Lonchura striata: one gene and its partners. The protein of the gene in region 1 purifies or fractionates together with the protein of each later gene. This does not show direct contact. Links are inferred from orthologs where the notes say so. Each region holds a gene or a part of one and is shown on either strand. Other genes may lie near its edges.

Evidence for each region.
Region 2: the proteins of SLC30A1 (region 1) and METTL9 purify together in Homo sapiens (co-immunoprecipitation; 3 studies listed by BioGRID and IntAct, with this or other methods). This does not show direct contact. The link is inferred for Lonchura striata from reciprocal best matches to the Homo sapiens genes SLC30A1 and METTL9.
Region 3: the proteins of SLC30A1 (region 1) and XXYLT1 purify together in Homo sapiens (co-immunoprecipitation; 3 studies listed by BioGRID and IntAct, with this or other methods). This does not show direct contact. The link is inferred for Lonchura striata from reciprocal best matches to the Homo sapiens genes SLC30A1 and XXYLT1.
Region 4: the proteins of SLC30A1 (region 1) and CSGALNACT2 purify together in Homo sapiens (co-immunoprecipitation; 3 studies listed by BioGRID and IntAct, counting the BioPlex papers as one, with this or other methods). This does not show direct contact. The link is inferred for Lonchura striata from reciprocal best matches to the Homo sapiens genes SLC30A1 and CSGALNACT2.

The regions. Positions count from the first base shown.
Region 1 is NC_134605.1:12,216,223-12,223,273, reverse strand, and holds the start of SLC30A1 (proton-coupled zinc antiporter SLC30A1), read right to left. Parts: upstream 3,013-7,051; coding exon 2,379-3,012; intron 1-2,378. UniProt on the Homo sapiens protein: Zinc ion:proton antiporter that could function at the plasma membrane mediating zinc efflux from cells against its electrochemical gradient protecting them from intracellular zinc accumulation and toxicity.
Region 2 is NC_134618.1:10,761,008-10,768,056, forward strand, and holds the start of METTL9 (protein-L-histidine N-pros-methyltransferase), read left to right. Parts: upstream 1-4,041; 5' UTR 4,042-4,136; coding exon 4,137-4,310; intron 4,311-7,049. UniProt on the Homo sapiens protein: Protein-histidine N-methyltransferase that specifically catalyzes 1-methylhistidine (pros-methylhistidine) methylation of target proteins.
Region 3 is NC_134612.1:15,219,037-15,225,870, forward strand, and holds the start of XXYLT1 (xyloside xylosyltransferase 1), read left to right. Parts: upstream 1-3,830; 5' UTR 3,831-3,875; coding exon 3,876-4,067; intron 4,068-6,834. UniProt on the Homo sapiens protein: Alpha-1,3-xylosyltransferase, which elongates the O-linked xylose-glucose disaccharide attached to EGF-like repeats in the extracellular domain of target proteins by catalyzing the addition of the second xylose.
Region 4 is NC_134609.1:8,302,598-8,310,113, forward strand, and holds the start of CSGALNACT2 (chondroitin sulfate N-acetylgalactosaminyltransferase 2), read right to left. Parts: upstream 3,010-7,516; 5' UTR 2,918-3,009; intron 2,501-2,917; exon of another isoform or gene 2,248-2,500; intron 1-2,247. UniProt on the Homo sapiens protein: Transfers 1,4-N-acetylgalactosamine (GalNAc) from UDP-GalNAc to the non-reducing end of glucuronic acid (GlcUA). Required for addition of the first GalNAc to the core tetrasaccharide linker and for elongation of chondroitin chains.

The DNA of each region.
Region 1 (7,051 bases):
AGAAGTGTACATGATTAACCTCCTGCTTTTCTTCAAAAGTTTTTTTTTGGCTACTTCCAGTGGTAAAGAAAAGCAACAGGCACTGGCCCCTGGCCCGACAAACTGAAACAAGGAGCTCTTACTGCTCCTTGAGGTTATTGAGTTCAGAGCTTTGTAAACATTAACACGTTAATAAGACGTGCAGCTTCTGCTGTTCTGCCCTTGTGGCTGCAATTCTGCAATTGCGGAGTGCGCACAAGTGCTCTCCTCTCTGAAGAGGGAGTGGGCTCCTACCGAGGCTGAGTTCCAAGCCCCAGCTCGTTGCCTCATCCAGTATGCTTCTGCCCTGAAGCTCCAGCTACATTTTCCACACTGCCTCTAAGAGTTATGGAACATGGGACCTGTAACTTTCCAGAGACGTAAATGAATTAGAGGGAAATATCTCGGGTTACAGAGTTCAGACCTCAAGGTCCACAATGAGAGCAAGGAAAGAGGAACGCTCTACTTTGTACCAAGTACTTGGAATAGTGGAGATCTGAAAGGTCAGTACAGCTGTCTATACAAGTGGGTAACATGAAACATAGTTCCAGAAAGCTCTTGAACTTTTTTTAAAGGCAAATGGTTAAAACATGCCCATTTGAAATACGCTCATTAAAATGTAACAATAAACTGATTATTTTGCATAAAGTGCATCCATAGAAATTCTTGTGCAGGACTAGCCACTAAGGCTATGCCTACTTTTCACTTCCGCCTCAGGAAATCAGGACTACCCCACTCTGTGATTTCCAGTGAAGGCACAGGATCACCTTTGCCATTATCTCTACATCTTACATCTTCTCCCAAGCCTCCAATCACCTTTACCTCCAACTTTTCCATAGGCAAACTATGAGTAGCTCCATCCATTACATAATCATGACAGGGCAATGAAGGAAATAGAAACTTATCTCAAAGTTTCACTGTGACCAAAATTACGTCCTATTACCACCTAAATACCCACAACAAATTATTTGCTCTTGCCAGAAGTGCATCCATGAGACATTCTAGACAAGTCAGCTCACAACAATATCCATTTTAATTCATGCTATACCTTTTTTCTCTAACTAGTCCAAAACTTGGCTAAAAGCACAACTTTTCACCATTAAATTAAATAATTCCCAAGCCAATGAGACTAAGGGTTAAGGTAATTTTACATTGTTTGAACCTAATTATTAGGATACATTTGCTGGAACTAAACCAACATTAAGAGCTTATTACATCGTCAAGAAGATGGTGTAGTGTATTTAGATGAACTTTCCTATCCTCTTGAAAAACCTGTCTTTCCAAAACCAACACAGAGTTGGAGAAACAGAAACTAAGTTTCTCAAATGTGTATTCGAACCTCTGAGCACAGAAAACCTGTTACTGTAGCAAAGTTCACTCTGACCAATTAAAGCTCCCTTTAAGCTAAAACAATGGTCTGCTGATGTCACCCTGAAACTGAAGAAGTTGGTTCCAAAGCCTGAAGTCCATTCCTTCTGGTGACAAGGATGCCCTAGGAACAGAGAAGCGGCAATCACACACACCTTTCACTCCGCTAGCACACAATACTTAGCTTTGACCAAGCAGCTTCAAAATCAACTATCCAGGCTTCTGGATCCACTAAAAACCAAAAAATTCCTACCTATGAAACAGTTTAACCACAATTGGGAAGATTTTTAAACGTACGCCTGTGCGCAGGTCAGTGGGAAGGTACATACTTTAGAAAGCTAAACAAAAATTATTCCCAAGACACCACACATGTGCCCTGACACCAGCATGCTCTACATTCCAGCTTCCACAGTTCTGACTGGCAATTTCCAAGACTTCTTCCTATTAATACCGATACTATGAAGAGACACAACATTATTGCAGTGGAATACGCTTCCGTGTGTTTGGTTTAGATGGAGAGTAGCTTCCCAGGTAACTGATAACTGACCCAATGGAGCAATCCAGCTGCCAGGACCAAGGCACTGAGCCGCACAGCCAGTTCGGATGGCATTAGGAGAGCGTCTTGTGACAGCTCGTGTGGCCAGGCAAGAAACGCTTGTCATGTGCCTTTCCTTGCAGAACCAAATTTTTCCCCAGGGCAAACTGCTTTATCCTGAGACTCTCTTACACTCTGACCTGTCTACAAGACAAACATGCAGCTTAGGGCATCCGAAGGAAAGGCGTGAGGAAGAGGTGCGACAGCCATGTGCCACAAGAGCTGCTAAGAAAGTTTCTCGCCTCTTTTCCAGGAGTGGGGACAGAATGGTCCTCACAGAGTCCTGACAGAGCCCGCACCAGGTGGGACCAGGACGGCCACGGCCCCACTCGGGGAAACGACCCCTCCCGCTTTTCTACGCGTGGATGGAGCAGCGGCGCTTCCCCGCGGGGCTTACCCAGCTTCTCCTGGCTGACTCCGTTGGAGCTGCTGCAGTTCTCCACCAAGGTGCTGGTCTCGTCGCGGTTCAGCGCAGCCTCCCCGTCCCCGGGAGGCTGCTCGGGCTTGGGGCCGCCGCGGGGGTGCTGCTGCCGGCCGCCGTGCGAGTGCCCGTGGCCGTGGGCGTGCCCGTGGCCCCCGACGCCGTGGTGGTTGAAGAGGCAGAGCCCCAGCAGGTTGATGATAAGCCCCGCCACCCCCACGGCGATGACCACCAGCGGCTGCTGGATCTCGTGGGGCTCCGTGAAGCGCTCGATGGCCTCCAGCAGGATGGTGAAGCAGAGGGCGGTGAGGAACACGGCGTTGACGAGGGCGCCCATCACCTCGGCCCGCACCCACCCGAACGTGTTCTTCTTGGTGGCGCGGGTGCGCTGGGCGAAGCGCACGGCCACCAGCGCCACGACCAAGGCCATCACGTCGGAGAGCATGTGGAAGGAGTCGGAGAGCATGGCCAGCGACGACGTGACGCGGCTCACCGCCACCTCCACCACGAAGAACAAGAAGGTGAGCGCCAGCATGCACAGCAGCCGCGCCCGCCGGTTCTGCCAGCACCGCGGCCCGCCCGGACCGTGAGCCGCCATCCCCCCGCACATCGCGGCTGCCCCGGCGGGGGCGCGAGGAGCGCGGCGGGCGGTCGGAGCCCCGAGCGCTCGGGCGGCCGCTCCGCTCCGCTCCCCCCGCGCCGCCGCCGCCGCCGCTCCCTCCGCAGGCGCCGGGCGAGCAAACTTTGCACCCGAGCCCCCTCACTCTTTTCACACGGAACCCGAGCGCCGCCTCGGACACGCCCCCGCCCGCGCCCCATTGGCCGGCGCGCCCCGCCCGCCCGGCCGTGCCCTCCCGCCCCCGCGCCCGGCCCCGCTCCCCATTGGCCAGCGCGCCCTCGCGACAGCGGCGCCCCGCCCCCGCCCGTTAACGCCCAGCGGGCCGCGGCCTCCCCGTTCCGCCCGCCCGCGCCTGGAACGGGGAGTGGGCGGGGCCAGGCGTGACGCGCCGGGGAACGGCGGATCCCCATTGGCTCACCGGCCGGCTTTCCCCTCCCGCCCCGCCCCCGCAGGCCCCGCCCGCGGCGAGCGGGACTCGTGCAAAAGGTGCGCTTCACACGGCCCCGGCCCGGCGCGCGCCCGGGGGCGGGGCCCGGCGTGAGGGGCGCTGTGACGTCACGCGCCCGGAGCGGGGATCTCGGGTGGGATCTGCGGTCTTCGGCGACTTTTTGCGGGGGCGGGCGTCTCTGTTTGATTTTCTCTGTTTAATCTTTCTCTTTAATTTTTCCTCCGTCTAATTAAAAGATTAATTTTTAATCTTTTCCTGTTTCTGCCACTGAGGGCAGGAAGATAAGTGCGAACGCGACCACTAATAACTGATGGGAGGCTAAAAAAATTGGAAGAGTTTTTACAAGAAGTTCTGCTTGAAGTTTTAGAAGGCTGTATAATATAAGAACATATTCATAAAATAAATCTATAATAATTTCTATAATGTTAAATACGAATTAATAAATTTTATAATAATTTTTCTATAACAATATAGGGAAAAATATGTTAATGCCAAAAGGTCGGTTCCCTGGACACTGGTTTGTTACGCTTGTAGTTAGGAAAGGGAAAGCAAGTGTTTTGAGACATCCGGAAAAACCACAGACGCGTGACCACAACATATAAAAAAAAAATAAACGGCCAAAGTTCCAAAAAGGCAGAGCTGACCTCTTACTTTGCTCACTGTGTTCTAGGGAACCAACAAACACGGCAGCAAGAGACAGAGTGTGAAAGAACATTCCATGAGCAGAGCGTGGAGAGGAGACAGCAGCCGTGGAGGTGGAGCTGTGGACCCACAGAGGCTGGAGGAGAACTGGTGGCCTGAGAAGGAAGATGTAGCCAGAACGCAAAATGTTGTTCCTGTACTTGGAGATTTCAAAGGGATTGTGATTCAGGGTCCGAGCAAAGGTTCCTGACTTAATTTGGGCAGTAAAATGACAGAAGGTGCTCACGTGTCCACAAGGAAAGCTTGTCAATGAGAATAACTGAGAGCAGTGATTCAGGACAGGCTTCCCCTGTGCTTGGCAGCATCCCCAAGAGCCCACATCTGGATACCACACTCTTATCCATGTGTGGGATAAGCGGGAATGTGTGCCATTTTGCTTAATTTTCCTCACATGGCAGAGCTGGCTTGGGCACCAGAGGTACTGCTGTGATGACCTGTGACCCTAAACCATGTTACCTGTGAAAGTATCCTTGGGTCAAAATCTAGGATGCATGCAGGATTCTTTACTAGCCATTGTAAAAAGAGTCAGCAATTAGATTGCTATAACATTCTCCTCACCTGGCTTCCCGTATGCCCTGACGTCACTTACTAACAAGTAAATAACCGGGAAGCTGAAAGGCAATTGCATGCAAACAGAACATGCCCATGTTGTGTCGTCCTCACTCCCACACAAAGCCATTAGTTTAACAAGGAAGAATTGCCCAGATTTAGGATATATGGGTCAAAGAAACTGGTGCAGCTCAAACCTCTTTTAATTACTGCAGGTGAAGTGGGTTATCATTTTACAGAGATTGCTATTAATCCAATGGAATTTAGCTAGGAAGGAAGGGAGAACAACAAGTTTGGTCTCTCTCATTGGCTCAGCTCCAGGAATTAGTGAAATTGGGTTTTAGTTGGTTGCCACCAGGGTGTCATCATAGTTTTCTTGATTAAAAGTACTCAATCCCCTCCTAAGAGAAATCAGCAGAATATCAATATCAGTAGAACACTGATGGATAAATCTTCATTATAAACTTGTCAAGAGCTTTGCCTGATTTAAGGAGGGGAGTTAGGGCTTTTTGGACTCCTTTCCTGGTATGCAAATGATGTCCAGATCAATTTGTAATCCTTTTTACATCTCTTCACCATGAGACCTCCTGATCTGCCTCACACCACTGTCCAGTGTACTGCATCTTTCCCCTTACAGGATGGCATCTTGCTGATCTTTAGCCATGTCCAGGGATAGCTTTTTGTCCTGTTATACCATGCTGAGTGCTTAATTCTACTTGGGGCCAAAAGCCACAAGACATGGACAATATACCCCAGGAGAATGGGAGGGTGTGGTGTCTTCCCAGGCAGGGAAGAAAAATGGTTCCTGAGGCCTTCCACTGCTCCCTGATGAATAGGGCTGGGCATACAGTTTTGACCCAGCCACTCTTGTCTCCATGGGCTTCAAACACAGGGACTTTGATGAATGATCCCCTGTGGCTGCTGGATGTGCCAGGCATGGACTGGCAGCTGGACCACACAGGAGTTTCCGCCGCTACCTCTTCCCCACACTTTCTTGTAAACCAGTGGGCTGTACACTGTTGTTTCCAGGCTTTTCTATTGTATTACCATACACCAGCAGCCAAGAGGAACAGGGATATTTCCTAATTTAGGGCTGTCCATCTGGCAACACCATCAATTTTAAGACTGATGGGAAAGTGACTGATACAGGTACCTAATGAAACCATAAATGGTGTTTTACAGGAGACACAATGTTCCTGCCTATGCTTTTAGGCAGAATACTTTGTCTTCAGAGTAGGGAGGACTCTGGATTTTTTGTTGTTTTTTCTTTTTTTTTCAGCTTCCAGGCATTGTTCATGACTCAAAGAATTCTTTCTCAGCTCAGCTTCCGGTCCACAGATGTGGAAGGACCCATCTAAAATCTGTTTACTTACCATAAATGCTTTGTGTTCCGAAGGGAGAAGTAGCTGTGGATGTCTGGCACACAGCTCCCTCCCCTCCCAGAGCCAGGTGACAAGTCTGAACAGAAAGCTGCTGCTTGTCACCTGTCCTGCAGCCAAACGTTTTGTACCGAGTCCTGCTGGGCTCTCCTGAGCCAGCCGAGCCCTGTGTGAAGGACTTTGGCTGGGAGTTTTGCTATTACTCAGCATGTTTGCTGAGCAAATAAAGTCACTGCTTTTCCCCTTTGAATTTCTGAGCAGGGTTGCAAGTGCAGAGATCTCCACCACGTAGGGCTCTTCATCGCTGTGTGCCTTTCCACTTGGAAAAGGTGAAACCCTGCCTAGGTGCCGATGCAGTCACATATTACAGAGCACACGGCCTCCTTTTAACACCCAGCTCTTCCCCTTTCTGTGCAGTCATCAGACCTGTTGGCTTTTAATGAGGGCTTTCTGGGACTGTGGCAAACGTGTCTCCATCTGTCTGTTCCACTTCAAGGCTGTCAGCATTCATTTTAGGCTGCGTTTCTCGCAGGCAGTATCTCTCTGGTAGCTGTCCTTACAAGGTTTCTTCAAATTAGATGCAGTCGGCATCACCAAAGCCAACAGAAGCACTCACTGTCCAGATACCTGCATATAAAAAGGTTGTTCCTTGTATCAAAAAACAACACAAAAGTGAGTATGACTGTTCATGTAGCTCTAGGTTGGATTCACAGTTAGGCACTGATTCAGGAAAGCAGCTTTATCAAGGAAAAGACATAGACATGTGTTTGCAGTTAATTAAAAGGCCTTCGAACAGAGGTAAGTTAAGCATGTGCTTACATGCTTTTGTTAGTGACCTGTGAAGAAAGCCTATAGCAATAATTGGCACTGAGATAGGAAATGAAGGACACCTTGCCCTACAAAGAGATTTCTTCTTCTACCTGATCACTGTGTCTGTGAAATCTGGGCTCTT
Region 2 (7,049 bases), on another chromosome or scaffold:
TTAAAAAATGGTAATGACATTAAATAGTCTCTTTTGTCTTTATTGTTTCTGTATTTCCTAAACTTCCCATGTTTATCCTATCTTCATAGAATATATATTTTAACATATACAATAATGTTATTGTACCATAAATGGGATTTGTTAGGTGACTGTGTTAGTTATTTCTAATACTAAGTTATTAGAAAATAGTGTACTGGAAGAGTACCATGCTATACAGCAGGAAATCTAATAAGTGGTTTTAAGAGTCAAAATTACATCAAGAATTCAATTAAATCATCAGAATTATTTTTTTATGGAAACTGTCTGATAAAGTTACCATTAATGTGCTGAAATAAGGAGTAAGGAGTGATATGACTCAATGCACTGGTGAGTAGACTCTACAATCTGCTGCATCTCTAGAATTCCTACAGGAAAAGTACATAATCAAAGATTTCTAAGCAAAACAGCCTGAAGATAGGAGACATTAACTGTAGAATAAACCGGTTTAGAAAAAAAAATCTGAGAACTACAATTCAAATTATTTGATATGTAAAATATTAATAATATTCCAAATTTATTATACACTGTTCTCCCATTTGTCTGTCCTATTTCCCTTGCTGTAAGGGCAGGAGAAATGTCTTTTAGAGCATCAATAGTCAATCCCAAAGAGGACTGGAAGAGTGCTTTGAATTTGGGTGGTGGTCTTCCTATGGGAATAGAAGGTTGGCACTGTGCTGTGACTGACATTGCTTATTCTCCATTTCTCTGTCACCCACTAAACTTTGTTATCTTCTGCTAAACCTACATGATTGGTTTTGGCTGTGAATCAAGTAAAGGATGATCAAAGGGAAGAGTTCAGTGTCTTGCAACAGCTGGTTTCCCTGCTTTCTCTCCTTATTAGCCAACAGTATCTGAGCTTGAACTCCCACTGCTGGAAAAATGCCTCAATTTAATCTGGATAATTTAAGTGTCTAAAACAGTCTCATAACTGATAAAGAGGCTATAAATGTGTGTATAGTATAAAATATGAAATGCTGTGATAAGATCAGAGGAGGAGAAATGTGATGCTTGAATTACCTTCTTAGAGTTTCTCTATAAATTCTGAGAATATGGAACTTAATACACTGAATGAATTTTATTTACTGAAAATCAATAAGCAGAAATGTCTGCTAGGCTTAAAAGGATGTTGCCCAATAGACACTAAAGAATGTTAGTCTAATACAGTAGTAATATAATATGTGGTCAGTGATAGAGTGAAAATATTGAATAAATGACAGCAAAGCATATTTAATTTTAAGTGAGGAAAAATGATGTTTTGTGGAGCTTACATGCCCACCACTGTTCTGGTCTTGTACAAAATGCCCTTCCCAGTCTCCTGCTGCCCTGATTTTGGAACTGCCCAGTAATTCATGAATGTACTGTGTTGACATGGCTGGTAGGAATGTTTACATTTGAATACAGTTCCACAGCCTAATGGGTGCTGTCAGGAAAGACAAGCAGGAAGGGGAAGGAACACTTCAGATAAGCAACATCTCCACAAGGACTGCTAGGCACTTCCTTGTATAATTAAGCAGGCTTGTGGGGGGAAAAGGCTCAGTAGTACATGCAGGCAAAAGAATTCCAGCTGGTTTGCTGAAGGAACTTAGAACTGAGCCTGGGGGGAGTTGTTCTGAAGGTCTGGTGAGACTCACAGCTGGGCTCCCTGGCTTACCTTTGGGGGAGAGGATTTTAGGTATCTGTGTTTACCTTAGAGACCTCTTTCTGGTAATCCCTTTCTTGCTAGCATTTCAATAATAGAAGGGAAAGTTGTTTTATCACTGCATTTGATGCCTTGTGTAGGCTGACCTGGAACAGAGACTAGACAGAGTTAAAGAATAAAGTAGGGATTTATTAGGAGGCCTCAACAGATCCACCTTGGGCAGCACAAGAGCCCAGCCTGGGCTACACCCAAGGTGAACCCAAAATGGTCACAAAATGCATGACCAGTCATGGGGTCTCTCACTTGTATAAGTTCTGCTCCATTTGCAGATTGGAATTCATTGTCCAATTAGAGCTTTAGCTCATTAAGTCCCACCCTTCTTGCGTTTCTCTCCAGTCCATGTTGCTTATGCTCTTGGGCCTGAGATTTGGATCATTTGTCCTTGGTCCCCAGCTAGAGAAGAAAATATTTTGTCTACCCACTCTGTGAAGAGAGCTCACCATCCCCTAATACGAAGCCTTGACCCACACACTAAAGCAGTACGGAATCTGAAAAATATAAAAGCTAAAACCTGAGGCATCACATTTTATTAGAAAAATGGAGGATCCACATCATGGACCACACGAGGCTGTGCAGCCTGCCCTGCCAGCGAGGCTGCTCCAGAAGCCAGGCTCCTTGGGTCAGCACACAGCAACAACAGCTGGGCTCAGCTCTTCAGTGTGCTTGGGACCTTTTCAGCACCAGGGATTCAATTGATTATAGCAATTTTCCATCCAAAGAGAAAACACTCTCCAAATAGTGGAGCAGAAAACAGAGAAAGTGATTCCATTCTTTCTGGGAATCCTTTCTCAGCACACTAATTGAGTGGCAAAGCTTGCTTACACCACAGAGGATTTGCTGAGGTTGTCCAGAAGTTGGTTACAACTCCAACAGTTTATATGAAAATGACTACATCAAAATTATTACCTAAATATACATGGTGAGTTCTTTATGGCTTGTCAAGAGAAAAATATGCTGAGTATACAACTACTGCATCAGAATGTTAATGACAAATGTAACACTGGGTAGGAATTTTGAAAAAATCCATTAAAACACACCCAGGTTGTATGCTAATGATGCAAAGGCAAAAGCTAGCAAATTTCTTAATTTATTTGGTGTGCAATCAATTATCTGTATTTTTTATGTGACAAAACCAAGATCTATTTCCCTGTAAACAACACGTAACTAGCCTGAATTAATTTTATTTACCAATTTATAATACAGTAAGCAGATGTCTGTTTAAAAAGCAGTAAATTTATCTTTTGTCATTTTGGATTTTGATTAAAAAGTTCTTTTATTCCTGGAGGTGGAAAAAATAAACTAGTCTGTCTTTACAAATAAGAACAGGCATGGAAAGGAGAGTCTTAATCCCAAGCCAAATAAAAACAGACCAAAAAGGCATTGTAGCCCATCTAGCTATTGGAGGGAGAAAAAAACCCAAACAATCCGCAGTGGAACACTGTCTAAAGCTCTCAAGTCAAAAAATTTCCTCAGGGGGGTTGAACATCAGAGAAAATGAACTGCACTCAAAAATCCTCTGGCAATGTTCTGCTGTTGCTCTGGTTTTGCTGATTTCGCAGGGTAGGCAAGGTTGGATGTGATCAGAGCTGGACCAGAGGAGGTTCCAGGCAGAAGCAGGATCCCGGAGGGGTTTGTCTGCCAGGGTTGGATGTGACCAGAGCTGGACCAGAGGAGGTTCCAGGCAGAAGCAGGATCCCGGAGGGGTTTGTCTGCCAGGGTTGGATGTGACCAGAGCTGGACCAGAGGAGGTTCCAGGCAGAAGCAGGATCCCGGAGGGGTTTGTCTGCCAGGGTTGGATGTGACCAGAGCTGGACCAGAGGAGGTTCCAGGCAGAAGCAGGATCCCGGAGGGGTTTGTCTGCCAGGGTTGGATGTGACCAGAGCTGGATCAGAGGGGGTTCCAGGCAGAAGCAGGATCCCGGAGGGCTCTGGCTGCCAGCGCCACCCTGCCCGGCTCTGAGGCGCGCCCCGCGCGCTGAGGGCTCGGCCGCGCCTCGGCCCGCGCCGCTCTGCGCACGCGCGGCTGGCAGGGCGGCGCCCAGCACGTGCGCGAGCGCCGCCGAGGCGGCCGCCGCCCGCCCGCCCGCCCGCCGGCCCGGGGCGGGGCGGGGACGAAGGAGGAGCCCGGGCGAGGGGCCCGGCCGAGCCGCCAGCCCACCCTGCCCGGCCCCGCTCCGGTTCGAACGCGGCGCGGCCCCGCCCGGCCGTCGGCGAGAGAGAGGGAGGGAGCGGGTGTGCGCGGCAGGCCCCGGCGTGTCGCAGCGAAGGCGTCCGGGCGGGCCCCGCTGCCGCGGCGGCGCGTTCCGCCCGGAGCGTGTGCGCGGGCCCCGAGCGGAGCCGCCGCTGCCATGGAGCGGGGGGGCGGCGGCGGCGCGCGGGGCTGATCGCGCCCCTTCCCCATGAGACTGTGGCTGTGCTGGCTGGGCTGCTACACCCTGCTCCTGTGGGTGCTGAGGAGGACGATGTGGGCTGGCCCGGCCCGGTACCTGCGGAGCCCTTTATCCAGGTCCCTCTACGTGAATATGATGGGCAGCCACCGCCAGCCAGCCCCGGACGCCAGGGAGAACCACCAGGTACAGCCCCGGCGGCGGCCGCGCTGCCCGCCCCTCCCCTCCCTTCCTCACCGTGCCGGGCTGGGCGGCGGGGCCGGCACAGGGACCCCCGGCCCGGGGAGCTCCGCCGGGGGGGATCGGCGGGAGCAGCGGGGACGCGGTGCGGGCTGCGGGGCAGCGGGCCGGGCGGCGCAGACAAAGAGAGCGAACTGCTCTGTCCTGCGGTGAGAAAGTTGCCGTGGCCCTCCCTGCGGAGCGCGCCCGGCGCTGCGGGCTCGGGGGACCCGGCGGGGGCGGCAGCGCCGGTCCCGGCACCCGCGGCGGGGCGGGGCGGGGCCGGGGCTGCTCCCGGGAGAGCGGCGCCCCGGCTGCTGCTCGTGCGCCCCGTTTTTTAAAATGCACGCCCCCGTTTGTCCGGTGAGCGATGTGAGAGCGCTCCAGGGAAGTTTGCAGCTGGTGGTGACGGGGGTGGGTTTGTAATCACAGAGATGTTTGTAATTAGTACCGGCGCATCTAGAGGAAAACAAAAAAAAAGTGGGAAACTGAGACTCCCCCAGAGGCCCCGGAGCAGTAGGAGGTGGCAGACTAGGAATGAGTTGTTGCAATGTGATCCGACGGCGATGAAAGGTTAGTGCTATGTTTGGGCAGTGTGGCCGCATGGGTCGGTACCTTGTGGAGAAGTTAGGGGCCATGCCCTTGCAATGCAATGGTTATGTGATAGATTTCATTTGGGATTTGTTCAGATCCGTACTATGTTTTGGCGAAATGCTGCTAAAAATTTGACAGGCGTTAGAAGGGCTAATAAAAAGTCTTCGTGCAGAAGGAAGCTGGCAGCTTAATCTAGGTTAAATATGCAGAAACGAGCTAACGAAGATGTAGTATAAACACTTGAGGACTGCTGTACAAAGGAAGACCATAATTCTTCCTGCTGATCCATTTCTGCAGCCTTCTTAGTGCTCTGGGTGGACACTGACATCCAGAATCTTGTTGGAATTTAATGCTTGTGCTCTGCTGTTGGGAACATTCAGGACATAAGTACAAAGAGAAGCAGAATTCGGGTTTACACGAAGAACTTCCTTCTGGTGAACAAAGAAAATCTGAAAGTCTTTTGTGTTGTTAAAAGCTGTAGCAGAAAGACAAGTCAGGGAAATGTGTTGTGGAGGTGCCTGTGTCATTCACAGGTAGATGGTCTGCAATGGATAATCTCCATCTCTATTTTATTTGAGCTAGACTTTAAATGTAGATATTGATGATTTGGTACATTTAGTAAGATTTATGGTTACTGAGTTTGTGGGGTAAGCAAGGGTTGCATGTTCAGACTGCTGGTACTTTGCGGTTTTACTGACTTAACTAGTTTTATGTAAATTATCTAAAAGAAGCTTTTAATCATTTTACTAATATTAGGCAAGAGTTGCAATGTTTATAAATTTTTTGTAACAATGGTCTTAGCACAACAGTCTGAAAATACATAAGAGATTGGCACATACTTTGTCACATAACCAGTGGCCTTTCATATGTTGTGTGTGGAGGAAAACAAAAGCAGTTTCTATTCTGAGGAAGTAGTTCTGGAATTAAGCTGTTTTTTACCAATTTTTTCATTTGAAATTTAGATTGGGGTTTTTAGGTTGGGGTTTTTGGGGGCTGTTTTGTTTTGGTTTTTTCTTTTATAATGTTTTAGAATTTCTGTTATTCACCAGTGTTACATAGGTAGTTGTCAATAACCTTATTGGCAAGTTTAACCATGAGAGATCATAAAATCATTGAATCATTGAGGTTGAAAAAGAGCTCCAAGATCATCAAGTCCAACCTTTGACCAAATAACACCATACTCAGTAAACCTTATTGAGAGGAAAGTGGAGATCTGTGAACAACACCTAATTTTTGGAAATAAGCTTCTGTTAGTTGTCATCATCATCTTTCTGCCAGTGGTTATGTCAATATTTAGAAGTTTTAAAGACAAGAATTGTAGGGCTGTTGTTTTTCAGTGGAACTGCAGGAGAGAGTTCAGTGCAGAACCTCAAGGTGTATGAGCTCAGGTGTAGTCATGCTGCTTATGGAACAAAGCCTCTGTTTCCCAAGGCTGTTCTTCTGGATTGAAACTGGCAACACATTGCAAAAGGCAAATAAATCATCTGAGCCACTCCAAACCTGTTCAGTGGAGTGAGGCAGCAGCCTTGTGAGTGAACCTGACACATCCCAACCTGCTCCTGAACTCCTTGGGATCATTTGCTTTTGCCACAGTCTTGGAATTGACTTCTGAATGAATGGACAGAGTACACAAACTGCTGCTTTAGTGGTTTTGCAGGAGCCACTAAGGATTCCTTTTGGGAGTCACTGGCCTACGCTGATTTATTTAACAAGTGCTGAGCTGCAGTGAGAAGAGACCTAAAGTGGTGAATCAGCAGTTCTGGGGATCCCTGTGCCAGGCTCAGAATCTGTGTTTCAGAGGAAAGGATCACTCACTTGTTCCACCCACCAGGGTGTTTGAAAGTACAGTTGAGAGCCTGATTCTGCCAGAAATGCACCCACTGTACAGGAGGTTTTCAAACCTCAGCAGGCAGGTTTGCTGCTCAGCTGAGGGGTCTTCCCCTGCTGCCTTGAGCCAGTGTTTGATGGAGCCCCTGCTCATGAATGTGGCAAAAGGGCCCTGGAGCACTGTGTGCTCCCCTGTGCTTGCTGGCACTGCTGCTGGGAAGCTGCAGTAAGAATCCTGTCCCATTCCAGTGATGGCTGCAAGTTCCACTGTGCTGACTGCTGTGT
Region 3 (6,834 bases), on another chromosome or scaffold:
ATGAAAACTTGAAATTTGAGACATGAAAGTAAATGTTGAACCAACAAAGTTTGTGTAGAATAGTTGTAGAAAGGCTGTTTCTACTTTTTGCTGTTCTCATTACAGGCCCTAAGCTTAGTATAAAAGTCTCGTGTCTTGCAGCCACACTAAGTTTAGGGCAATCAAGCCTTTGTATTAGGAAGCAGTAGCCCTTGTATAATTTTCAAGGATGTTTGTGTTGTCTAAACTTAGGTGAGCACAAGAAAAACTAGAATTTCAATGCACATTTCTGTCAATGAATGATCACAGTCTACAACTGTGTTGTGAGGGCACAACAATTTGCTTTATGCAAAGACAATTTGCTTTATGTAGTTGTGAGCCCCACTCTGCCCTTGTGCATGTATAAATGGTGTCTCTAGATATATGCTTATATATCAGATTATTTATACCTAGATAATAATCCTCCTAAACCTCAAATCAGCAGATGCAATTCTTTATCCTCTTATTTGTTTACCCTATGGAGACAACTTAAACAGAGTTTTTAGGTGACACAGTACCAATGTGAGTTTTCAGTAATCAGTTTTCAGTAATTCTGAAAGCTGTGGCATTATGTTGACCTGCTGTTTAAGTGTATTTAGGAAATTAATTGGCTTTTCTCCATGGAAAGATAAGCAAAACTGGGATAAAACAAATTGAAATCTGTAAACTATGGTAACGTTAAACTTTCTGGCATGTTGAGTTTTAAGAAGTATTTCAAACATTTATAATTCTGAATCAAATGTGTAATAGTCTGCATATTATTATTGCTACAAAATTAGTAGTGTTGTAGAATTGTCCAGTGGATTTTATTTCCAAGCAGAATAATCTTACAAGACAGTTCTTGCTTTGTATGTGGTCTAATTATGGTAGGAAAAGCAAATTTTGCCCATTTAAAGTGCACATTTAGTCTGAATAAAAAGAAACTTAAGGATATCACCTGTAAGCAGTAATTTTTAGTAAGTTGGTTTTTAGATAGCTGCCTATGAATTGATAATATACTTCCTAATCAGCAGTATTTACGAGCAAATGGGTGTTTTAGTAGATCTTGGAGAAAGTAAGACTCCTGGTGTACAGATGGGACCATGTGACAATATAACTGCATAATATCCACCTTAGACATAGGTTTTTCTAAATGTTTGTTTTTCTCAGCCTGGCTGGCAGGCAGTGTGTAGTGTGATTGGCTGGAATGTAAAGCTGCCTAAAGCTTAGTGGCAAAATTGCTGTCTCAGTCCAGGCTGCTGGAGATCTTCACTGGCCACAAAACCCTCTGTGACAAATTCTCCAGGATGACTTCTCTAGACTAAGAAGTTGCTTCCCTGTAGCTCTACACATTATGTATTCTGTTCCCGACTCTCATCTGTCTGGGAAACAGTATCGGTCTCTGTGCTAAAGGATGAATCCCACCTGACTGACAGCTGGTGTGACTCATCAGGAGCACTGGAGTTTTAATGGCTTAGGGAGTAGCTGTGTAACTTGTGATCTTCAGCCTTGTTCCCCTGTCCTTTTGGGTATGATAGGATGTCCAGTATAAACTGCACTCAATTAAAGCCTTTTTCAGGTCAGGTGCAATGGTAACATGTTGCTTATCGGCAGAAATGAATGTACCATTAAATTTGATGGCTCAGTGTCACCAGGCTCTGGTAGGCTCTGTGTTCTAGGGCCTCTGCGACTCACAGGTTTCAGCCCTCAATAGTGTGATTAACACCACAGCTATGAAGATCTGGATTCCATATCGAGTTTTGACTCATGTTAATATTCTGCTCAGTAATGTTAGGAAACTTCTATTTCTATTCCAAGGGGAATCTAAGTGAAATAGTAGATAGTAAGGTTCCATTGTGGGTTAACATCTTGTACTTTGTACCAGACAATAGAAAGGTTCAATTCCAGTTCATGTTTCTCTGTAGGTATGAAATACAGTAGTGCGGGACAAAGCAGAAGATCCCCAGCACATTTTAAAACCATTCTTCATATGGATTTTTAGTAATTTTCTATATTAGCCCATTGAAGGATAGTATAATATCTTTCCTATGTGTTCCAAAAGTCTCTTGGAACAACAAATGTTGAGGAATTCAACTTACATTCTAATTCATCTTGATTTCAGAGGTGTAATGTATGTCCATTGCATATTGATTAAAGTAGTGTCTGTGGTGGCTCATTAATAGTATCAATTGTTTTGACTGTTCATAAGGTTTCATGTTTTATGTTAGTGTCAGTACATTGCATACAAACTTAAATTTCTGAATTATCATATTGAATTATGCCACTGTCTGTGCTAGAGAGTTGGAATTTGTTTACATTAATTTGGATGAAGGTGTATTTGGATTGTAGAGGTATTTCTTCGCCTTCACAAACAGCCCACATTGCAATCAGATGGATGTGTGTTCCAGGTGCTCATTAGTGCATTGTGGACTTCAGCCCCTCTGTCCATTAGGACCTGATCCAGGAAGTCCCTGATATCAGTGGCAGTCTTTCCACTGATTTTTGAGATTATGGATTATACCATTTGGGGCTTTTAATGTTAGACTGCTAAAGGATCCTGTATTAATACTGCATTTTTTGCTCTATGGGGTTTTATATTTTACCTGTTTGTATACTGAGCTGAAATAGTTTTAGAAAATGCAACCAGACCTTCCAACTGCTGTCAGCAAATCCCTGTACAAGAGGAAGTTTCTCCTGTTTTGCATTATGACATCAGTACACGTGTTGTCCAAATTACTAGGTCTCCTGGATAGAGCATAAACTTTGTAGCACTAAACTAAAAGGGTGAGAACTAGAACGAGCGGAGGGTTGAGGTCATGTTTCCAGGACTGCGGTGCTTCTGTGCAGCCATCTGTTTTAAATTGTGGATGTTACCTCTGCTGCTTCAATTTGATAATCTCAAATTACACAGTGACTATAACATGACCCTTTGATGAAACTGCAAATAATAATATATAAGTACAAAGGACATGATATTTTTACAGTGTCAGAAGGACTTAGCTAATTATTCTGATTCTTCAACACACAAAGTATTTTGAGAATCAATTTTTCAGGCTACAGTCTGCCCCATTCATTATGGACACTTTTTCCCAAGTTGGAGTTTATGGCTTGTGCAGTCTGACAACCAACATGCCTTGCTCCCGTGCTTACACAGCGGCACAGTTTTAAAACAGGGTCAACTCTGGAGAGGCACTACTGGGGAAAAGGATGAGTGTACCACTTTGGTATATAACCTTTCATATGCTTGCTTTATCTTTCTGCATACAGTATTTTCTTGTTTCTCTTCCCATGGAAGGAGATGATAGAGGAGGAAAAATTCCACTCACTTTTCTGTTAGGAGCCTAAGTTTTCCGCGTTTTGACAGAAATCGCCAAGAAATCATCGTTTCCTCAAGCAGAGACGTTACTTTCTCCAAAATAATGAACTTTTTTTTTTTTCTCCGCGCCTTCCTCTGTACTCGGTGTTTTTCAAGCATTCCAGCAGTAAAATGTAAAAAACCCCTCCCCTTAAGCTGTAATTGTACAGACTGTATACCTCGCCCTCCTTCGCGTTATGTACGGCTGTAGACTTTGTATCTAAACTTGGCTGCGGTGTGTGTGGTGTGTCATCGCGCGGGCCGGCCCGGCGGCGGCCCCGCCCTGCTGCGGGCGGGCCGGGCGCGGTGCCGCCCCGCCATGGCGGCGCTGCGGGGCTCGGCGCGCCGGGGCTGCCCGCGCTGCCCGCAGCCCGCGGCCCTGGCGGCGGCCGCGGCCCTGGCCGTCTGCGCCTTCTACTACCTGGGCGGCGGCGGCGAGACCTTCTCCAGCGCCACCCGCCGCCTGCGCGCCACGCCGCCCGCCCCGGCGGGCCCGGGGCCCCGCGGGCTGCACCTCCTGTTGATGTTCACCAAGGCGGAGCGCAGCCCCGCGCTCCGCGACAAGGCGCAGGCGGCGCTGCGCTCGCTGCTGCGGCACGGCCGCCTGGGCGCCGCCGACGTGCTGCACCTCCACCTCGTCACCGAGGGCGCCAGCCGCGACATCGGGCTCGGGCTGCTGCGGGACCTGCTGCGCGGCGCCGCCTTCCGCCACCAGGTGCGCGGGGGCCGAGGGGCGGGCCGGGCCCGCGGGGAGCGAGCGGGGTCTGCCCGCGTGTCCCGGGTGCTCTTCCCGCTGGGAACCGCAGGCCGGCGGGAAGGAGTCCCTCAACCAGCGGCCCTGTGCGGCTCCCAGCAGAGCAGCTCGCTCCCGCTCTCTGCTGGAGCAGCGCCCCCTGCTCCGGTCCCGGGAGTCTTGCGGGGCTCGTTCAGTGTCCCCGCCGCTGCTGCCTCAGGGGAGCTGGCCTGGTGCAGCCCGGCGGTTCTCAGCTGGGACTGGGCAGCAGCGTGGCCTGGGAGCACCACTGGCACACCACCTGTGCTGGAGAGGAGCAGTTGCTCTAAGCAGTGCTGCCCTCTTGCAGGCCCTGTTGGTGCCGCTTCAGCATCTCGACACAAGGACCACGTGTGCTTGTATCTCGATGGGTTCCCGAGCAGGAGAGAAGGTTGGCCTGCTGCTGGTGGCTCTTGAGAGCAGGAATGGAGAGCCTGCAGGGGCTCTAGTGCATCTACGTCCAAATGTTTCTACTTCCAGGGAAATGGTTCTGCCTCCCAAATCCACAGCTAGTGTAGTTTATGGGAGGTTTGGCTTCCCTTCTCATTAAACAGGTGTCTGAAAACTGGAGGGGTGTTAAGTTCAGAGATTCCAGGTAACTTGACTCTCCTGTCCTGAAGCTGCTGCTGCAGAGCATTGTTTGGAAGTTTCCTCTAGTCCTGATGTAACTTTTATTGCTCATAAATCCTGTATTTCATATTAGCTGAACTCTGCCAAGATGAAACTAGAAGTGTAACCCTAACATTTTTCATACAGACACTTTCCTGGTAAATTCTACCACTGGTTTTCTTTAAACAAGTCCTTTCCTAGTAGTGGCCCTCAGGTTATGCACCCATGTTGGGAGACCCATGCAGCAGTGCTTGGCTATCTGGAGGGTGTGCACAGTTCCCACAGGAGGATTCTTGCACTCCACAGCAGGATGGACTGAGTGCCCCATGATGGTGCTGTGCTGATGTGGTGCAACAGCCTAACCCAGGCTGGTGGTATTATGTCTCCTGGAGTGGGAGGACCCCCATGCCACTATGGTGTGCACATCCCTTGCAGTCACCCCTTTGTGTAGGCAACTGCCTTACTGCCATCTGCCCCTCTGGGAAACAAGCTTCTCAGCAGGCAGCCTTGCCAGCCTCCTTTCTCCAGAGTAACATGGCTGGGAGTTGGAGGCATGAAGTGATTTGTCTGTTGTGGATTGGCCCCTGTCTGTAGGTGCCTGTGGAGTCACAGTGAAACCTGGCTCATGGCTTGGTGAGTATGTCTGGTACCAGAACTGGTCTCCTGGGTGTAAGCAGGGCAGCATGATCTGGAGGCCTCAGGTGAGATCTCACTGAGATCTGCTCAGTGGGACAGCTGCTTCTCTTTCCTGGCAGAGCCTGATGTACCCTGGTTTCAATGGCCAGCCTGTGGTTGCCAGTGTGTTTTGGACCGGACCATTTCTCTGCTTTTAGGTACAGTGCAGAGGCTGTTCTGCTTCTCAAGCATGCAGCCTTGTCCTAATCCTGTGCCAGTTACTGCAACACCAGCAGGTGACAGCACCTCTTTATTCTTGTTGTAGCACCCCATTCCTCTTCTCTATCAGCAGGAAACTTATGCCTAGCTTGGATTTCTGGTGTCCCTGCTAAAATGTTGAAGATGATTGATCCTGATGCTCGGCTAGCTCCAGCAGTAACCCATCTGTATCCTGAAACCTCTCGTTTCCTGCTCCTCATGGTGCGTGCAGAACTCTCTGCTGCTTGTTATGCTGTTTTCCTAGCACAGGCCCAGATATAAGGCTTGATAAAGGGCTCAGTGGGCAGCTGGAACCACTAAGGCCAGACTGATAAAACTCCCTGAACTTTACCTTTTCTTCATGAGGAAGTGATTCAGGCCCAGCTTTTGGAGCTGCCTATGCCCTCCCATCCTAGCAAAGCTGGGATCAGTTAGCTTCTCTATTGGAGTGAAGCCCAGAGTCAGATATGGATCATAACCACTGGGGGAGGTTATGGGCAGCTTTTCTCTCTCCCTAGGCAGATTCAGGGCTTTCAGAGTGTCCTGGAGACTGCGGCAGCCGGCTGCAGCCCGGGGCAGTGTGCAGTGAGGGCAGAGGGGCTGTGGGGTGCAGGCGGTGGGTGTGTGGCAGCAGCTTAGGCACTGGAGCCACCCAGCAGGGCAGGGCTGGCCGGGCGTGGGCAGTCACCGCCCGCGCTGGCCGTGCAGATGTGCCCAGATGTGCAGCCGGGAACGCAGCTGGCAGCAGAGGGAGCTCCTGCTCCGCCTCTGCGGCCGGGAGGCGGCGGCAGGACCCAGCCCGCGGCTTTCCTGCCCGTGCGGGGCCTCGGTGGGCTTTACCGGGGCTTTGTGACAGCACACGGCTGGCAGGAGGATCTCTGTAGCCTCTCCCGACCCCCGGCCAGCGGGAGGTGTCCGGCAGCGAGCCTGGGCCAGCCTCGGCTGACGCTGCTTACACAGAGCAGCAGCTTGCCCCGTTTCCTGCCACTCCAGGCTGTGTGCTGCAACTCCTTGCACGATTCCTATCTCTTATTGATTCCATTTCCTTACCATAATAACACGGACTGCATGTTCGGCTCTCTGCTCATCCTGGTTTCCTGTTCAGATGAGCCCCACGAAGGACACTGCTGGGTGGATGTAACTGGGCTGCCATCACGCCACGCTTACAAAGACCTGCGAGGATGATTGACATGGGAAGGAGGGAGAGTTAAAGGGAAAAGAAATGCAG
Region 4 (7,516 bases), on another chromosome or scaffold:
GTCTAAACCAGTACCCTATTCAACTACTTTTGCACTGAAAGGCACTCATGACTGGAGGGCTGTAACTTACAGATTTTTTCCTGCCCTCAAAACCAGAATTTTAAAGAGCTTAATAAAAAAGAAATTAAAGATATTAAAGTAATTGCACACTTTCAGATTTTTTTTCATGAGCTATAACATTAATGGATCTGCTGGGCTTTTCTAATCATAATTCAGAATGAAGCTGTTCTGGCAGACAGTAAGAAGTGCCCTTCCACAGATTTCTTCTTACAAGCTGTGGTTCCAACTCAGAAATAAAACTATATTCCCATTCCCTTCCAAAAAGCATTTTATTTCTTTTATAAACACCTTGTGAGTTCTGGTCTCATTTCCCCATTTCCAGCACTAATCTTAAAAGAGCATAATTAGATACATAGATAAGGCACAGTTATTTGTGGTTTGGTCTTTTTTTCTAAAAACAATATGCTCCTGAAAATATTTTCTTCCCAATGTGTCCTTTGAGAATGACTTTTATTATTTTTTTTCAAGTCTTGTACTCTTGAAACCCCTGCCTATTTTCTACATTATTTTTTGCAGAAGCAAAATTACTATGGACTTTTTCCATACTTTTATTCTGAATGGCTAATCCTTCAGAGGGCAGATGAACTAACAAAAAGCCAAGGACATTATCAGTTCCAGCACTTTTCCAAAGCCTGACTTTCATCCCACCTCTGTGATCCTATTTCCGCATTATTTAAGGAGAAAATACTGCAAGTCATGAAGCTTGCTTCATAATGACAGGCTGCTTCAGAGACAAGAAAAATATTGTGCAATTTGTTTTCTGCAGTGAAAAAAACTGACCTCATATTTCTCATACCCACCCTCCTGGGAGTTGAGTTTTATCTCTTTTAAAAGTTCAGGTAATTCTGATGGATTCTTTTTATAAAGAGGTCCACAGAACACTTCTGGCAAGCATGAAGTAGCAGATTGTGATGCAGGGGTTGAAATTCTTGTGCCAAATATGCTTGTGGGTTTTCTTGGTAAGAGACCACAGCTACTTATTATTTAACCATGCCCTCAGATGATATTTCTCACTGATTTGGGAAGACCCATATCCTGGGGTTGGAACATAAAAGCAAAGAATTTACATTCAAGGGTAATTTGGTGCAACTTCTACCACAATATAGCAGCTGTACCAACAGGTTTGGGGGTTCCTTTCTCTCCTTTATTCCTTCCTTCCTTAAGCCTGAGAAAAACGCTAAAACTAAGTCATGGGATCAAGAAGGAAAAGAACTATTCAAGATCAACTAATCTTAATCACACTGAAGTTCTCACATGTTTTCTCCAGCAACAGACAAGCTAAAGAATGTCTATTTGGGCTATACAGTCATGCACTTCAACAACCACCACCATTCCTCCTCCCATGTTCAGCTGCTGATGGTTTAGGACACTGATGCTGTAGCAATGCTCAGTGCAGGTCTCCTGATATTTCTGATAAGGACTCACTGGTAGAGTCTCCCACAAAAGCCTCAGGGTTTAATTGAGGCTCGTAGCTAACACCTCTCTGCAAAACGCACCTACCTCCACTGACAGCTACTGGGAATATTTCCAAACTGCTGTCTTTGGTGCTCCTTGGGGACCCTCTATCTAGCTAATAAAGGGAAGCCAGAAGTTTCCTTCAAACACACTAAAGCAAGATAGGAACTTGCAGCTAGTGCATGCTGGAAAAGAAGAAACTGTCCTACAAGGCCTAGCGTTACAGCCTCCATGGAAAAGAAACAGGGAGAAAAAAAGGTATTTCTACTGTATGACCTTAAACTGAGAAATACTGACTCAGTGTTGAAACAACCTTTCTTTTCTGCAGTTCTTCTGAGTTACCGGAAAGAAGACAATAAAGTTAGTCCTTATCCATCATCTACAAGTTTAGCAGAAGAGATCAGTGTCTCAAATTCCACCTGACAGAGGGACTTGAAGAGAAAAAAGCACAAACAAACAACAAAACCACATAATAAACACTGATTACACTTCACTGAAAACATGGACTATCAAGTTTAAATTTCTACATACTTCGGTTTAAAAAGGTCTTGAAAATTGCAACATCCCCCGTTTCTGCTTTAGCATTTCTGACTTAATTGACTAGTGACAATTACACAATTTATTTTTATGCTCAATACCAAACTCTCACAGTTTGCGAGAGCACAGAATTTACCGAGCAAGAACGCATCTGACAAAAACGGAGATGTAACGAGTAGTTTAAACAATGCTCACCATTCCACCGAGGATAATTAAGCACCCTCATCATCACTTCGCCTGTTTGGGGGTTGGTGTGAGGAGTGGGGGTTTCTCGCGGCCCCAACAAGCCCAAAGGCCCCCGCAGCCAGCCCGGCCGGGCGCTGCCCCGCGCCGCTCCAGCGCCGTGCGGGGGGGCCGCCCGCTGCATCCCGCTGCCTGCGGCTGCACCAACGCGCTCCCAGCACGCCCACGGCCGCCAACACAATGGAAACGCAGCCGAGAGGGACAGGTTCGGTTTATTGTTGAGACTGCGCTACGGTACAACCGAGCGGCCCGCTGTGCCGGGCCGCCTCGTCAGGGCGGCCGGGACAAGCCGAGGCGGTGCCGGCTGCGCGGACCCACGGCCGCTCGGTCCGGCCGCAGCCCGCTCCGGGCGGGACACGGGGCCGGGACACGGGGCCGGGACACGGGGCCGGGACACGGGGCCGGGACACGGGGCCGGGACACGGGGCCGGGACACGGGGCCGGGACACGGGGCCGGGACACGGGGCCGGGACACGGGGCCGCTGCCCGCGGCCGGGAGGGCTCGGGGGCGCTGCGCGGCACCTCGTACCGGCGGGGGCCGGGAGCGGCGGGCAGTGGGGGGCGCGGGGCCGGGAGGAGCGGGGCAGCGGGAGGGCGAGGGGCCCGGCGCCGCCGTACTCACCGCGCGGGCCGGCGCGGAGCCGCCTGCACTTCCTGCGTGCTCGGAAATGAGCGGGCGGGACCCTCCGCCGCGCCGCTTAAAGGGGACGGGCCGGCCGCCCCCGACCGCCCCCGGGGCGGGACCGGGTCCCCCGCGCAGTCCCGCGGGGGAAGCGGAGCCGCCGCCGCCGCTCGGCAGCAGGGAGGGGCCGCGGGACCGCGCTGCGGCTCCTCGCTCCCCTGCGGCGGGGGCGCGGCGCGGAGCGCTCGTCCGAGGGCGAGACTGCGAGCTGCCACCGCGCTCCGCGGCCGCCGGCCGAGCCCGCAGCGCCGCGGCCACACCGAGCGCGCCCGGCCGCTCCCGGCGGCTCCCGGCCGCTCCCGGCGGCTCCCGGCGGCTCCCGGCGGCTCCCGGCGGCTCCCGGCCGCTCCCGGCGGCTCCCGGCCGCTCCCGGCCGCTCCCGGCCGCTCCCGGCCGCTCCCGGCCGCTCCCGGCGGCTCCCGGCCGCTCCCGGCCGCGCTGCCCGCCCGGACAGTGACCCTGAACGGCCGCGGCGCTGCCCGGCACCGCTGCTCTGCCAGCCCCGCAGCCCCGCGGCTCGCAGAGGTCCAGCGGCACCACAGGGATGCTGGTATCTCAAGTGTTAGCAAAACCCTGAAATTGTCATATAGCCTTTATGGTGGAAACAAGAAGCAGAATTTACCAGTAATTATCTTCTACTTATCCAAGTGTTTATGTACAGTTCTGTATTTCCAGAAGAACATTTCATTACACTATATTATTTTTCTAATTATTAGTTTTCTGCAGGGCTTGACCTGAAAAGAAGCCAAGCTTGGGAACTCATGCAGCTTCCAGCCACGCACATGAATGGTGGCTTGTAGCAGTTTAAAAGGGTGAAGCTTGGGAAGCAGGTGAGGTAGTATTGGCCTTCCACGTTTTTGATCCAAACGTTTTTGATTCCGCTCATCAAAAACAAGAGAAAGCCAGTAAAGGCTTATTAGGTACAGACCTGCACCCCCTAACTTGACATCACTCTGCTGGATTGCCTGGGACTGCTCACCTGCCTCAAAGGCAGGCCCTGAGGGCTTTCCAGCACAGAGCCCCAATGGTCTGAGCAGCAGAAGCTGCATCCTTTGTCACGTTACTGCTCTTTTGAGATCTGTACCCCATTTAGCACAGAGCAGCCCTTTGTCTTCAGGCAGGCAGAAACCCATTTGTTCATAAATAGCTACACTACACAGCATGGGAGGGGGGCTGGGTGTCCAAGGGCCAGCCAGATCTGTTCAGTCTAGATTTCAAGCCCTCAGACAGCAAAGGTCTTTCCAGGGAATACCTTTAATAAACAGGCAAAAGACACTTGGCTGGTGTTGCCATCCATCAATCCAGATACTTTCCTATCCATTAAAACTTGTCACAATGCTAGATCATCATTTTAGGTATCCCTCAAAAACATACTTAAAAAGTATATTCATAGAAGAGAATTATCAGAAGGTTTTAAATATTCACATATGCACTGCTCAAACTAGGTAAATGTGGCTTTATTACTCTTAAAACAGTATGTAAATATACTATTTTAAACCTGACCTCATGCAAAATTTCAGTATTGCATGTTACAATGACGGTTGAACATCCCACTTGTCATCTTTGTTGTGGATAATGAGCAGGAGTTTAGTAGACACCGACACACTGGAGGCTGTAGTGTTCTGTAGACATAATATTTGTGAATACAAGAAGATAACGGAATGGAGATAACTGAAATGACTGATTTTGTTAACTAACCCTTCATTCTGACAATGCTGCAACACCCACTGGTTGGCCTAGAGAGCAGCCAGACTCTGAATATTGTTCTTCAGGTTTCCCAGGTACCACCTTGCTGCACATGAGCTTCTTGCTGCTATGTGGAGAGAGCTATACAGGGCCTTCCAGGGGATTATACACAGAATATTTTTTTTTTCTTCTCTAAGTGCTCTCTGCTTACCAGAATTTCTTCTCTCCCACAAAGCTTGTTCTTTTCCAGACTGAGAGAAGGAAAAAATAGATTTCTTAACCTCTTGTAGGAGCAACATGGGTATTCATAGTCATCTCTGTATGAAAGGTCTACCATGTCAGGAAAAATGATGGGTTTGCACTGATGTTGCATATAGTTTCCTGATTCTTCTATCAGAACATGCTGTTCTAAGATTAGATATTCCTTCATAACTCAGACCTGTATTTATGCAGATAGATGTTATAATTCCTATTTGGTGTTAATCTTACAGGCGTACAGAGGAATTCCCACATTGTGTGTGAATAAAGCGGGCAGTAAAACATTTAGGAAATATCTGTGTTTTAAGATACAATTCATTTCAGCATGAGGATTTTCTTAGACAGGTAGTTGCAGACCTAGCATCTGAGAGCAATAGTATATATATTTATATATTTATAATTTATGTGTCTCAGCTTTGAATTTTCCTAAAATATTATTATAGGATGGTTATTTAGGAGACAGACTTTAAAAATGTTTCCCTAAACTTTGCTAAACACTGTTCCTAAATTGGTACAGTTGGAGAAAAGGAAGTGGCTGGCTGGCAATAGCTTATTCAAAAAAGAAGCGTTTTCCAGAACAGCATTAGCTCCAGCCTCTAGTGGTTTTGGTTTTCTTTCTCATGCTTTTTTTTTTTTTTTTTTTTTTTTTTAATAAAGCATATGTGTGGCCTGGAGGGGAAGAAACAAAAGAAAAAGAGAAAGAAGAGCTAATCTGAGAACAAGATACCAAAGTGAAGGAGTAATGTAAATGAGGCCAAAGGAGAAAAGAAAAAAGGCAATCTTTCAACAAAGGATATTTTTGTTCTATTAACCTCTTGAGCCGAGGTGAAACATGCATGTAGAATAAGAAAAATGGTCCATTATTTTGCCTGAAAATTCTGAGCTTTAATTGTCAAACAATAGTCATTAGTTTGCCTTGACACAAGGCTTTTTGTCAAATACCACAGCTCAGCTTTACTGATGGCACAATTCCAACATGATCCCATGTGAAACCGCTTTCTTTTTCCTTAAGTGTTGCAAATTATTTATAACAGATACTGAACAATGCATGCAAAATCATGAAGAAATTTTAATAGCCCTAAATCAACCCTCCTACAATATTTTATTCATTGGGATTTATATCCCTCAAAATCCTCAAAGTTGCACTCTGTAACCCTTTGTCACTGCTGCTGTCCAAACGAATCCTGTTGCTCCGGGCAGTGAATCGGGGTCTTGGGAGAGGCCGTGGCTTCAGCAGAATAACTCACGCCTGCCTGGGGCAATGCCAGGCTCCCCCTCAGGCTCTGCTGGCAGTGCTGCAGTGCCAGCACCAGCTGGGGCACTGAGAGCCCAGTCCAGAGCTTGCTCTGGAGCTCTGAAAGGACACAGACTTATTGTCATCGTGGGGCATCAATGACACAAGTTACAGGTGCTTGGAATGCCAGGGTATTTTATCTCGCTGCTTTCAGAAACTGGAATAATGCCTTGATTTGCCACAGCTTTAGGAGAGACAGCGCTTCTGTACCAACATACCACACAAAAATCTTCCTGTATGTATTGTTACCATGCCCTTTATTTTGCACTGAGCAATATTTCCTTTTTGTCAATGCCTGGTTTTGGCCTCTATGTCTTTGAGTGCTGAAGGACTACATTTTTTCATGTAGTGTTTTGGGATTAAATAAATAGTAAATCTTTGGTATTATGATGTACTGATTTTTGGATTCAGAAGCATATAATTTATATAATGTTTGGTAAATGAACTGCTATGTGTTGTTCATTTCCTGTTGTTTTGGGATCACATTTGCTAAATTACTTCCTTTCAAAAATTCTCATTAGAAAACAGTATCAACTGACTTAAAATTTATATAGAGTCCTTTCATACATTAAAGCAGACTAATTCATGAAAGACATTCCTTATCATAAAAACAAAATCAATACGATCACAGCTGTAAGTGAATGTAAATAAGATTTAGTTTTATCTACTATCTGAAAATGCTTTCTTCTGATAACAGAAGTGCTTACTGCAGTCCACTTGCTTTTTTCTTTGAATAGTGATAGCTTAGCATCTGGAAAAGTGTATGGAAGGATAAATCAGAATTTTTTTGATACAATCTCTTCAAATTACTTTTTCTCTTTGAAACCAACATATAGTTGCTGTTAGCAACAAATGTTTGCCAAGCTTTGTGACAGCAGCAAATGGATTGTGGAAACATTCCTGTACCACCAGTACAGTGTCACTCTGGCTGGTGCCATGGGGGAAAAGGAATACAGAAGAGGACAAGCAGGGAGCTGCATTAAATGCCTGGGCTCTGCTGCTGCTCCAGCTGAGAGCAGCAGGCAATATTCTGCAGTGGTGGCCGAGCATTTTTCCTGGCCACATGGCCTTATTTTTCCTGGCAGGAACAATGGGTTGTGTGCCCACAGTTCCACTGCTCACTTACAGCTGCACCACGGTATCACAGCAGTAACAACATATATGGAAAGCAATCCATGTAGGTAGTGCTGGAATTCTATACTGGTTTATTTCTGACTATTCCAAAACATCTTTGCTATATAGCTTCTGTCTAATAGCACCAAGAAATGCTGTAGGCATTTTTCTAAAAAGATAAGAAAATT